Sus scrofa: one gene and its partners. The protein of the gene in region 1 binds, or shares a complex with, the protein of each later gene. Links are inferred from orthologs where the notes say so. Each region holds a gene or a part of one and is shown on either strand. Other genes may lie near its edges. The genes, in order: CDK9, EAF2 and EAF1.

What was found.
Region 2: CDK9 (region 1) and EAF2 share a complex: the UniProt entries of both Homo sapiens proteins name them as parts of the super elongation complex. The link is inferred for Sus scrofa from reciprocal best matches to the Homo sapiens genes CDK9 and EAF2.
Region 3: CDK9 (region 1) and EAF1 share a complex: the UniProt entries of both Homo sapiens proteins name them as parts of the super elongation complex. The link is inferred for Sus scrofa from reciprocal best matches to the Homo sapiens genes CDK9 and EAF1.

The regions. Positions count from the first base shown.
Region 1 is NC_010443.5:268,275,579-268,279,886, forward strand, and holds the start of CDK9 (cyclin-dependent kinase 9), read left to right. Parts: upstream 1-1,504; coding exon 1,505-1,596; intron 1,597-2,060; coding exon 2,061-2,142; intron 2,143-2,888; coding exon 2,889-2,979; intron 2,980-3,346; coding exon 3,347-3,513; intron 3,514-3,624; coding exon 3,625-3,796; intron 3,797-3,949; coding exon 3,950-4,098; intron 4,099-4,308. UniProt on the Homo sapiens protein: Protein kinase involved in the regulation of transcription.
Region 2 is NC_010455.5:138,650,575-138,654,115, forward strand, and holds part of EAF2 (ELL-associated factor 2), read right to left. Parts: intron 1,095-3,541; coding exon 840-1,094; intron 1-839. UniProt on the Homo sapiens protein: Acts as a transcriptional transactivator of TCEA1 elongation activity. Acts as a transcriptional transactivator of ELL and ELL2 elongation activities. Potent inducer of apoptosis in prostatic and non-prostatic cell lines.
Region 3 is NC_010455.5:2,653,377-2,657,661, forward strand, and holds the start of EAF1 (ELL-associated factor 1), read left to right. Parts: upstream 1-1,452; coding exon 1,453-1,822; intron 1,823-3,643; coding exon 3,644-3,738; intron 3,739-4,285. Other genes in the region: METTL6 (methyltransferase-like protein 6), read right to left, coding at 239-463. UniProt on the Homo sapiens protein: Acts as a transcriptional transactivator of ELL and ELL2 elongation activities.

The DNA of each region.
Region 1 (4,308 bases):
GGGGCAGAGAGCCAGAGAAGGAGATGGGTGAATGGTGGGCTTGGAACTTGGCATGGACAGCGGGCCTCAAACAGTACCACTGCTATACTCCTGGACAGACTGTAAATAGCCTGAGTCAGAGAATCCTTTTCAAATTCAGACAGACAAGGTTCGAGTCCCAGCTTTGTCACTGTGTAACCTCGGGCAAATGATTTCACCTCTCTGAGCCTCGATGTGCTCTTCTATAAAATGGGTTAGTGACCCTAACTTATGGGGCTGTTGATTCAGGATTCCGCAGGAATGCCCAGCACTTGCTGAACACACAAGGGTTGTCGAATAAATGCTGGCTACTTTTGTGACTACCGACCCAGGCACGACCATCTTGGGCACAGCTCAGCTGGGACGGGGGTCCTGGGCCTCATCCCTGCCTCCCAGAGAATAGGGGGCCCGGGAGTTGCTCGCTTGCCGCCTCCAATGTCGCCGCGCCCCCTGGCGGCCATCGGTTGCCATATCAACGGCGGCCGGCGGGGGCCCGGAGAGGCGGGCGGTGGGGGCCGTTCTCTCCTCTCTGGACCCGAGGCTGCTTCCTCGGCGCCTCCCTCCTTTGCCTGTAGGGGGGCACCCGGAGCTGGGAAGGAAGGGGTTCCCTGAAGCTGCTGGCATGTGTGGGTAAACTGAGGCACGCGGCGAGTCGCCCAGCAGCCAGGTGTGGAGCGCGGGGCCCCACCTCCGAAGGCGGAGGAGGGGCCGCGGGCGGTGACGCGCCGAGGGCGGCGGGCGGACAGCGGGCGGGCGGGCGGCAGTGGCGGCGGCGGCGGCGGCGGCGGCAGCGGCGGCAGGTGCGGCCGCGAAGGGTGGGAGGGAGGAGGGAGGGGGCGGGCGGAGGGGGAGGGGAGGGCGAGGCCGGGGCACCTCCCCCTTTATAACGCGCCCCCTCCCGGGCTCTCGGGCCGCCTCCTCGTCGGCTCTTTCCGTCTGGCCCCCTCGTCCGGCCGCCCCGGGCCCGGGCCCGGCCAGGGAGCCCCCAGGCCGAGGCTTGGGGGGCGCCCCCCTCCCGCCGCCCCGCGCAGCCTGGCGGAGGCGGCGCCGTCGGAGGAGGAGGAGCAGGGCACTGCGGCTGGCCCCGGATCGGGCGCCAGAGCGGCAGCGGCTTCGGCAGCAGCGGCGGCCCGAGCCGATGCAGCGGGACGCACCACCCCGAGCCCCAGCCCCGGCGCCCCGGCTCCCCGCGCCCCCGATCGGGGCCGCCGCCAGCACTGGCGGCGGCGGAGGCGGGGGCAGCGGCGGTGGCGGAGGCGCCTCTGCAGCTCCGGCTCCTCCTGGCCTCCCGGGAACTACAAGTCCCAGGGGGCCTGGCGGCGGACGGCGGACGGAAGAGGCGGGGTCGGCGCCGCGGGGCCGGAAGTGGCCGTGGAGGCGGAAGTGGCGCGGCCGCGGAGGGGCCTGGAGCACGGCGGCGGGACCCGGAGCGGGAGCGGCGGCGGCAGCGGCGGCTGGAGGTGGCGGCGGCGCACTGGAGGCGGCCATGGCAAAGCAGTACGACTCGGTGGAGTGCCCCTTTTGTGATGAGGTGACCAAATATGAGAAGCTCGCTAAAATCGGCCAAGGCACCTTCGGGTAAGGCTGGGCCCCCAGGGACCAGGAGCCCTGAGCCTGCACCCCTCTGGACCGATGTCGAGACGCCCAGGCCCGTGTCCAGTTGGTTGGGAAGCCACCTAGCCGCAAACTTGTCCCCTGGTCTCGCTAGGCCGCACCGCAGCCCGCCCGTGCCTGACCGAGCCGGCTGGCGGGGAGGAGCCTGAGGCCCTTGATGGGAGGCAGGGAGGGGTTGCAGAGAGGAGCCTGTGAGTGGAGCGGGATCTCTCCCAGCAGCGGCGCCTGGGTGAGGAGAAAGGGCAAAGGGAAGGAAATAGAGGCTCGGAGAGGGACCGAAGATACCGCGCGTTGGTGTAGCCGAGGGCCCTCTGTACCCGGCCCAGCCCCGCCCGGGATTCCCTTTCCTGCCCTCCTCTGGTGGGGGCGGGGCGGGCCCTGCGGAAACGGCCTCAAGAGTCCTCTTGGGTCCCCCTTTCGGCCTGCAGGGAGGTGTTTAAGGCAAAGCACCGCAAGACCGGCCAAAAGGTGGCTCTGAAGAAGGTACTGATGGAGAACGAGAAGGAGGGGGTGAGTACGGGGCGGGTGGGCAGGCCTGCTAGGTCCCTTGGGCAGAGGTTGGGTTTCCACCCTGCTTCTGGGACTTTCATGCTGAGGTTGAATTTATGTGTTTAGGAATTTCTGTGTTCTATGGAATCTGACTTTCAGGTTAAATCTTTTAATTCAAATGTTTTAAAGAGTTTGATGTTTCATTCTCAGGTGCACGTGGTTGGTGCCAGGAGGGGGAGCTCATGCTTGCACTGAGTGCACCCTGGTTCCTGAAGTTAGGAAGTTTTTAAACACTTTTCCTTTGGGCTTTACTTTTGTCGAATGTTTAAAAAAAAAAATCATATGTCATAGCCCTAAAAGAGTAACTGGTATTCAATTGAAATGCTCCCCCCCCCATCGTAGCTCTAGTCCAGTTTCCCAAAGACCTGCTTCTTTATTTTTTGTCTTGTTAACCATGTAACAGGTTAAACACGGGTGCAGAGCTCTACATTATGAGTTTAAAGAAACCGTGCAGCATTTAATGGCTAGTCATAAAGCATTTGTGTGAAGTAGCAAAACTTCAAGTCATCGTCTGAAACCAGCTCCCGAAGGGGTACTTTCTACTAGTATGCCCGTGTTCTAAATATGGCATCTGAGGCAGCTCATTTCAGAGCCCACGATTTGACTCTGTCTCCCAACCTTCGACCCTTACTGTGGATCCCATGGCCAGTTCCTGGGTCAGTAGTGTGCTCTCCCGCTCTTGACCTCCTTGTCTTTCTCTCACCCAGTTCCCCATCACGGCCTTGCGGGAAATCAAGATCCTCCAGCTCCTAAAACACGAGAACGTGGTCAACCTGATTGAGATCTGTCGAACCAAAGGTAAGCTGTTTGGATCTTGCCCTCCGTTTTCAGGTGGGGAGAATGAGGCTTCTCGCCTCAGGTTTTGCTGGCGGAGCTGGAACCGGACCCACTTCACTGCCTCTTCTTAACCCAGACACACCACCTGCAACTGCTTTCCCGGGTCCTTTTGTGGGAGCAGGTGCTTCCCCAGGGCCTGCCACAGCGCCCGGCCCAGAGAAGCACTCAGAAAATATTTTACCCGTGCAGGAATGGGCAGCCACATACCCACTGTCCATAGGTTGGAGGGGGTAGGAGCTGGTTGTGGGAAGATGAGTTGCGTGTGAGGTTTTTGATTTTTTTTTTTTTTTCCCACCCCTCTCTTTCTCCCTCGTGCTTCCTGACTCAGCTTCCCCCTATAACCGCTGCAAAGGCAGCATATACCTGGTGTTTGACTTCTGTGAACATGACCTCGCCGGGCTGCTGAGCAACGTCTTAGTCAAGTTCACGCTGTCGGAGATCAAGCGGGTCATGCAGATGTTGCTCAATGGCCTCTACTACATCCACAGGAACAAGGTGGGGGCCGGGGTCGGGGGTCGGGGGGAGACCCAGGCTGGCCTGGGCTCTCCGTGCGGGGTGGGTGCGGCTCAGGGCCCCTGGCTACCCCCGCCCGTGTGCTTCCCGCAGATCCTGCACCGGGACATGAAGGCGGCCAACGTGCTCATCACCCGCGACGGGGTGCTGAAGCTGGCCGACTTCGGGCTGGCCCGGGCCTTCAGCCTTGCCAAGAACAGCCAGCCCAACCGCTACACCAACCGTGTGGTGACGCTCTGGTACCGGCCCCCGGAGCTGTTGCTCGGTGAGGACGCTTGAGCAGGCCTAGGAGGGGCAGGAGGCTGGGCCCTTAGCCAGCCTCCGCTCCCCCCTGCCTGGGCTTCTTGAGCTGCCGGCCCTGGGGCCCCGCGCCTCCGGAGGCCGGGCTCAAGGGGCCCTCCTGGTGTGCTCTTCTCAGGGGAGCGGGACTACGGCCCCCCCATCGACCTGTGGGGTGCCGGGTGCATCATGGCGGAGATGTGGACACGCAGCCCCATCATGCAGGGCAACACGGAGCAGCACCAGCTTGCCCTCATCAGCCAGCTCTGTGGCTCCATCACCCCTGAGGTGCGTCGCCAGGCTGTCTGGGCCCCGCAGGCTGCAGAGATCCAGACCTCTCCTTGGTAGAGGAGGGGCAGGGCGGGGAGCAGAGGGAGAGGTGGCTGGCGGAGGGTCACAATCTGCTCTTTGGGGCCACATGGACTGTGTTCACCGGCTCCATCACCGGTTAGGTCAATGCTTTTGGGCGAGGCTTCTGAACCTTTCAGAGCTGAGCTC
Region 2 (3,541 bases), on another chromosome or scaffold:
AATATTTTGTTTCTATCCTTAAAAGATATTATACGCTATTGAAAAGTTTAAAGTAGGAGAGACAAATTATATTTGAATTATGAAAGTATGGATGCAATGTACTTAGTGGATAAAAAATGAGTTTGAGTAGATAAGGGGTGAACCTGATAGGAAATCATTGCATAGTTAAAGTAATAAATAACGGTTAGGTTTCACTAGTGTGATAGTGGTAGAGTTGTAGAGAAGTAGATCAATCTGAGAATAAGGAGGTAAAATAAACAAGATGGCGAAGGATTGACTGTACTATAAAGAGGGAGAGGAAGTCAATCCTAGAATAAAATCAGGCTCCTGCTTTGCATAGCTAGGTAAATTCTGACTTTCGTTAGGCACACAGTTAGCCAAAGATTATAAATTTATTTTTGATAAAGTGAATTTGAAATGCCATTGAATATGAGATGATATTGGACTTATGTCTCTGGAGCTCAGAGGTTTAGGTCAGAGATACAAATTTATAAGTTATCTGTACATAAGAATTGACTGCAGAAAAATATGGAGGAAAGCATATGGAATAAGAAAAAAGGACCTAGAATTAAGCCTTGAAGAACTCCAGCTCTAGAGACTGTGTGAAATATTATAAACCAGAAAAGAAGAGACAGAAAAGCATCTAGAAAGACGAGAAAAACCAGAAAGGCATTCTGTCACAGAGGCGAAAGAAAATGAATAATTCAATAAGAAGGTAATGGTTAAGACTGTCAGATGAATAAAAGAAGTCTTTCTCTTGATCCAAATTTTAAAGCATGATCAGTATGGATCCACTGTGAATTCTACTTTTCCGATTACTCATGCTTATGTATACTTACTTAAAGTATTCATCATAAGGCCATTGTCATAATATTTATTTCGACTGGCATCAATCTCAGGAGTCCTGCACTGTGGCATGGCAGACATGGTAGGATGTTCCGAGATATAATTCCCTGGATCAGGAGAGGATCTGCACTCTTCGGCTTCTGAATCACTGGAACTATCCTCACTACTTGAAGATGATGAACTTTTGGAATCCGATGAACTATCGCAACTACTCATCTGGTCCATTAGACTAGCTTCTGCCTTCAGTTCTGAAAATAAAATAGAAGTCAATAGGTTAAATCAATAACATTAACTGTAAGTATTAAATAAATATAATAAAATTTGAATGTGTTAGTTTCTAATAAACCGTTGATGAGGAATAAATAAGACTAAACATATATTTACATTTAAAAAGCTTCTTTCCTACTCAAAATGAAAAGGAAAATCCCTCTTTCTACTCTCTCCTCAAATTCCTTTAATACTACTCCCCAGGAATAATCACTCCTAACACTTTCTTGTGACCGTATATGTTTTCAAATTCTGCTTGGAAACTGGCATTTTAGATTTTGACACCCAATTCATCTATTATTGGAGCTCAAGTGTGCTCTTTGTTACCACCCAACCAAGATTTTTTTAAAATGGCAGCTTTTCTAGCAAAAGTTGCATCTCTGGACTCAAACCTTTCTTTCCCAGCTCTTCTCTGGTAGTACTTCTTTCTCCTTGTCCAATTTATGGACAACATACACACATAGTCCACAGACTTCCCCACCAAAATAAAAGAAAAAATCTCCTTTACCATCAAGCCAAGCCACATTCAATGTTGGGATTGTGAAAAGTATAAGACATAGGCAATATCTAAATTTGAACACTACATTTACTTATACCTTTATACTTAAATACACACGTAATTCAAATAAAATATAAAAGAGAATGTGAACATTTTAAATTGTAAAAATTAAAATCTATATTGATAGAAACCATCCTCTAATTCTTTTCATTCCTCAATACATGTAATGCAACACTACATACACAGACGAATTTTATCAGCTTTATTGAAGTATAATTGGCAAAAATTTTTCATATACTGAATGTATATAACTTAGCGTTTTGATGTACATATACACTGTAAAATGATTACCATAATCAAGTTACTTAACACATAACCTCACATTAGTTACCATTGTGTGTGTGTGTGTGTGTGTGTGTGTGTGTGTGTGTGTTTTGGTGGGAACATGTGTCCAAGTTAGCCTGATGTTGCTGGATACACCTTTGAATATGGGGGAAGAATGAACCTATCTGAAATGCCTTCTGTAGGTAACTTGGGGGTCGAGACATGTTGGGCCTGAACTGCCATCTTCTGGGAGGGAGAGATTATAAGATGCCCTGACCATACTGTTCCCCTAGTCCTTCCTGGGGTCCCTAACCAGATTACCTTCCTCTTTCAAACTTTAAGGGTTCTCCCTTGGTTGTCTCTGTGTTATTTCCAAGGTTTATAGTTTCATGTAGTTGGGAGAAGCATAAATAGATAAGTCTATGCCATCTTGTCCCACAATACATTTTAAGAGGTTGAATTTATACAGAGTATTTTATCTACCAAAACAAAGCAAAAGTAAAAATTTCATAAATTGAACCTAGATAATTTCCAAGTATTTGCACACTTCTAAAAAACCCATGGTTCAAAGAAGAAATCAAAAAGATTTTAGAAAATACTTCTAAAGGAATGAAAATGAAAAACACAATTTATCCAAATCTGTGGAATACAACTAAAGTAGAAAAAAATAATGTATTGGGGAAATAAAAAAAGTACAGTCTGAAGAGAAATTTAAAAACTTAAGTGATTATATTGGGGAAAAGAGAAGATCTCAATTAAATGAGCTAAGCTGTACCTTAAGAAGATAGAGAAGGAAGAGCAAATTAAAACTTAAGTAGAAGGAAAAAAAACAGTAAAAGCCAAAAACAAGACAACAGAAAAAATAGTGAAAATAAATGAAACCAAAAGCTGATTGTCTGAAATAAATACTGTTTATAAAACTCAACCAGGTTCATCAGGAAAAAAAGATACTAGACATAAATTATTAATATCAGAAGTGAAAGAGGTGACAACACTATAGATCCTACAACATTAAATGAATAGGAAAGAACACTGTGAACTACTTTATGACCATAAACGCAACAAATTAGATGAAATGGATCAATTCTTTGAAAGCACAAACTAACTCAAGTTAGCTCAAGAACAAACAGAAAACCTAGATACCCCTAAATAATCTTAAAAAAACTGAGTTGCAGTTACAGCACTCCCATATCCCACACATAAATCTCCAGTCACAAATGACTTCACTAGTGAATTCTATCAGTCATTTAAGGAAGAAATTATACCAGTTTGATACAAATTCTTCTGCATAATTAAAGAAGAAAAAACACTTCCCAACTCATTCCTTAGGGCCAGAATTACTTATATAAAACACAATAAAGACATTACCAAAAAAAGCAAACAAATTAATATTCTTATAAACAAAGATGCAAAAATTTTAAACAAAATTTTAGTAACTCTAATTTAATCATATATAATAGCAGTTTTCAACCAGGTATGAATTTGTCATCCAGGGAGAAATCTGGCCATGTCTGGAGACATCTTTGGTTACCACAGCTGGCGGCAAGTGGTGAAGGCAGAGATATTGGTAAACATCATACAACACACAAAGACAACCCAGGGCAA
Region 3 (4,285 bases), on another chromosome or scaffold:
CCCACTGAGCAAGGGCAGGTATCGAACCCGCAACCTCATGGTTTCTCATGGATTCGTTAACCACTGCGCCACGACGGGAACTCCAACAGTGTATTTCTAAGGTACAAAAACTTATGAAGCGTTTTGACAGGCTTCATATATTCTCTACCTCACACTGCCCGTGAGAATGCAATAAAACACCCCTCTTCCACACATTCTTAATGAAAGACAGTTCAAATAAGGCGTAATATTAGTTTACCTCTCTACAAGATCTGAGCTCCTCAAACTCTCTGGTGGTCCAGTGTCTATCTTTGAAGAAATTAGTGCTATTTCTTTTGTAAAAAAGGTCCCAGTTTTTCTGAGCCTCTTTTTCCAGTTTTTGCTGTTTAAAATCAGACACTAAAGCCTGGTCTCTTTTCAGTTTTTCCTCTTCTTCAGAGCTGAGAACCCTTGCCTGCAGCCCTTTCCTTTGCAAAGAAGCCATCTCCTAAGTTGATGGTAATATATTTAACACTGCTGGATATTCTCCCTTCGCGAATAACCCGAGAAATTCAAGCAGATACTACACAGGCAGAGTTTTCTCAGATGCGGCCCCTCTCTTTGGGTTCAGGCCTCAGGCAACGTCGGGTGTTTTGCAGGAAAAAAGAATGAGATTCTGGTTGGGGGTTCTGGAACAGTTTTAAAGATGCTGAGTTAGTGGTTCTAACACAGTTTTTTCACCAAACAGTTCAATTCACCAAATGTTTACTAGTGGCCGACCCTACACAAAACCCTGCCCCGCTATAAGAAAAGAGGTCATAAAGAAGACCCAGACACTGCCCTTGCCTACAGAGGGCTGACATTCAGCTGCCAGGGCGCTCTCACGCATAGAACTCTAATTCAAACCTGAATAAGTCAACTATTATAATAAATCGCTTTAGTTTAGAACAGAGTCACTCCCAAGAACTAAGAAACCTTTGGGGGAAGATACTCGTCAATGTTCGGTGCCCGTGAAAGGGGCGACTTAACAGCTGCCGGTACTGGAGAAGGGTGGTCAATTCACAGACAGAAGCAGTGTCACCGTTTCCAAGGAACACGGAGCTAAGCCTGGGAGGCCTCAGTCGCAGAGTTTCACGAAGCAGAGGGGCGTCGCTTTCCAGGAACTGAGGCCCTCGCGCAGTCGTCCGCGCAAAGGGAAGGAAGAGACCCAGGGACGCGTGGTGTGGGGTTCCAGGACACCGGGGATAACCTGGCCGCCCGGCCACGAGCACCTGTGAGCGCTTGTGAGGAGCCCTGTTCACCGAGACCGCCGCGCGCCAGCGCCCAGTCTTCAGTTCCTAGGTTCCCCTGGAGGGTGGCGCCGGGCGCGCTAAGCCCTCACCCAGGCCCAACCGCGTGAGTAGAATTTGGGAGCCACCGCGGTAAAACCCAGCGGCTGGACAAACCAGTCTGCAGCACCTCGCATTGGGCTTCTCCCAGCGGAGTCTTTTTGCCATGGCACCGCCCCCGCCACTTCCGCTTCGAGACCGGAAGTCCCTCCCCGGCGCCGGAAGTTCCGCGGCCCCGCTTCCTCACAGTTGTCCCCCGCCCCGACGCGCACGCCAGGACTTATTTCCAGCCGCAGGTGGGCACCGGCTCGGTTCTCCGCTCGCCCCGGGGTGCTGTCCCGGGAGCGCTGCTCCCTCGAACTCAGGCGCCGGCAGCTCCGGCCGCGGGCGCGCCAGGAGGGCGCCGGGGCGGGCGCGCGGCCCGTGCGGGGCCATGAACGGGACGGCCAACCCTCTGCTGGACCGCGAGGAGCACCGCCTGCGGCTTGGGGAGAGCTTCGAGAATCGGCCGCGGGCCTCCTTCCACACCATCCGCTGTGAGTCCGCATCCCGCAGCCGCCACAGGCCGACCTCGATCCCGTAGCCCGGGGAGCCTGCCAGCATCAGTTCCCTTCCTATCTCCCCGGATCCGCAGGGACATTTTGCTTTTTCCCGGTTCACTCTTCCCAAACAAGACTTTTCGTCCCTCCCTCCTGTTCCTCTGCCTCGTGGTCCCAAACACGTCTTCCAAAGACCATTGGCCCCCTTTCCTGCCAGGTCCAGCCCTCCCGCGTGCCGAACCTACCCCTCTTGCTGCCTAAAGGTTGCCGAGTCCACATCAGGGTTCAGCTCGTTTCCCTAGGCCCCCCACTCCACCACGACCCACTAGGGGATCTCCACGATTCAAAGATTTTTCCCGTTTGCTTGGGAGCTGCCTCCACTCTCTCCTATTCCATTTTCTTCTGTTGTCCTCACTTTTCTCGTATGTTTTGGTTCTGGCCGCCCTAACGCCGCGCTTCATCCCCACTGCAAACATCAGAAACCGCATTCCCCTCTGCGCCGCATCAGTCTTCCTCCTCCATCTCTTCGTGCCAGCTTTTCGTCTGCCTTTGAGGTTACCTGGACTACCCCGACTTTTCCTCGGGACCATGTCCCTTGTGGGTGAGGAATAAAATTGGAATTTGTGAGCCAAGAATAAGTTACAGCTTGGTCTATGTTTGGAAGCAGAAGCAGCAGACATAAGGAATGTGAAAATAGTCATTATGCTGGGTCTCCTTTTTCTCCTTGATTACAGACTCTGTTGAGGGAGGGCCCTTCTACTCTGTGTCCTGAGTAAAGACTTGGCTGACTGAGCATCTCTCTGATTCACAAACTCCTGGCTTCCCATCCTGGTAGCCCTAATGCTGGTTAAGACTTGTTTTTCTGAGAGGAACTCTCAGAGGTGACTCAACACCTTGGAAGAGGGTGTGTTAGATAATGATGTTCTGTCTTCATGTGGTCACTTGCACCGTCATTCCTCTTCTTCCTACTGACAGCAGATCAGCCCTTTCTGAGGGAGGATATTGAGGATGTGAGGGAGCGTCATTTCCTGAGGAGGTTATTTGTTGGTAGCGTGAAGGAAAGTGAGGAGCTTAAGAAAGATACTTCAAAGAGGCACCTGGCCTGCAGGTTGAGGCAAATGTGTGTTAAAAGTAAGAGTGCTGTTCAGGTTGTGCTTTAACTGCAATCCAGAGACACAGGCAGGATTAACCTTTGGAAATACAGTTCAGCGGTCATCCCCAAACATCTATAGGCGTGTCCTTATTAAAGCTATGGAACTTGAGTGTGGCAGATCCTAATGTTGACAGTTCCTATGCAAAATGAAATCAGCGCATATGATGCTGTAGCTTTTCATTTTTCACATTGGGTTTTACAATCACAGGATTTAAAAACTGTGCTCTGTTGCTTTTGATCCTTGTAATTACCCTAGTAAAACATTCATTATGAATAAGGCATTAATTTTCATCTGTCACTTGAGAGAGGGGAATATCTTTGCTTAATAAAATAGTATATACATTCTAGCTTTTTTTTTTCTTCAAAATAATCCAGTGGAGATGGGAGGAAAAGTATGTGGAGGTATAGCTGCAACAAGATTATCTTGGAGCTGGTAATTATTGAAGCTGGGTGGTGGTACACAGGAGCTCGTTGTATTGTTCTCTCTGCTTTTGTGTATGAGAAGTTTTCCACAATGAAATACTTTTTTAGAAACTCCTAACTGGTTTGTATTTTCCATTTATCTGAGTCATAAAAAATTTCAATTCTTAAGTGAAAATGCCCCAGAAGCCTTTGCTTAGTATTAGTAACCTGGTAGATAAATGTTTTTTTCCCTTTCCCTTTAGATGACTTTAAGCCGGCATCTATAGACACTTCCTGTGAAGGAGAGCTCCAGGTCGGCAAAGGAGATGAAGTCACAATTACGCTGCCGCATATCCCTGTGGGTTTTATTCCATCGTTGTTGTTTCTAATGTGGAATCACAGTGGATCTTCATATTCTACATTATTGCAATTTGATTTTCCTCCTGTTTAAGAATGTGTAGATTCCTAAAATGCCAGTTTGGGGGATGGAGTGGGATAGAATTCACATTTCCCATGTACTTGAGTAAAAATAATTCTTTGCCATTTTCCCCAAGCTCCCTTTTTCTCCATTTATTCCAGATGTCCTATGCGGACAACTAACCCCTCCTTTAGATGTTGTTTAACCGCCCCCCCAGCCCCTGCCCTGCCCCCCAGCAGCTATAGAGAGAAAGACCCAGGCACCTGGAGGATGTAAAGTGGCAACAGCTTAGGAGCATGGGGAGGGAGGGCGGGGTCAGCCTGGTTCCTGTATATGGCAAGGGGTGATGTGCATTCTGGTAGCTTTCGGCCAGAACCAGAGGTTCAGAACATTCAACTTATTTAGGGGCAAGAAACCCAGTTAAAAGCTGAAGGGAGAACTTTTGCAGAGAGACTCTTTCGAAGCTTTGCCCAAGGCAGCACTCTGA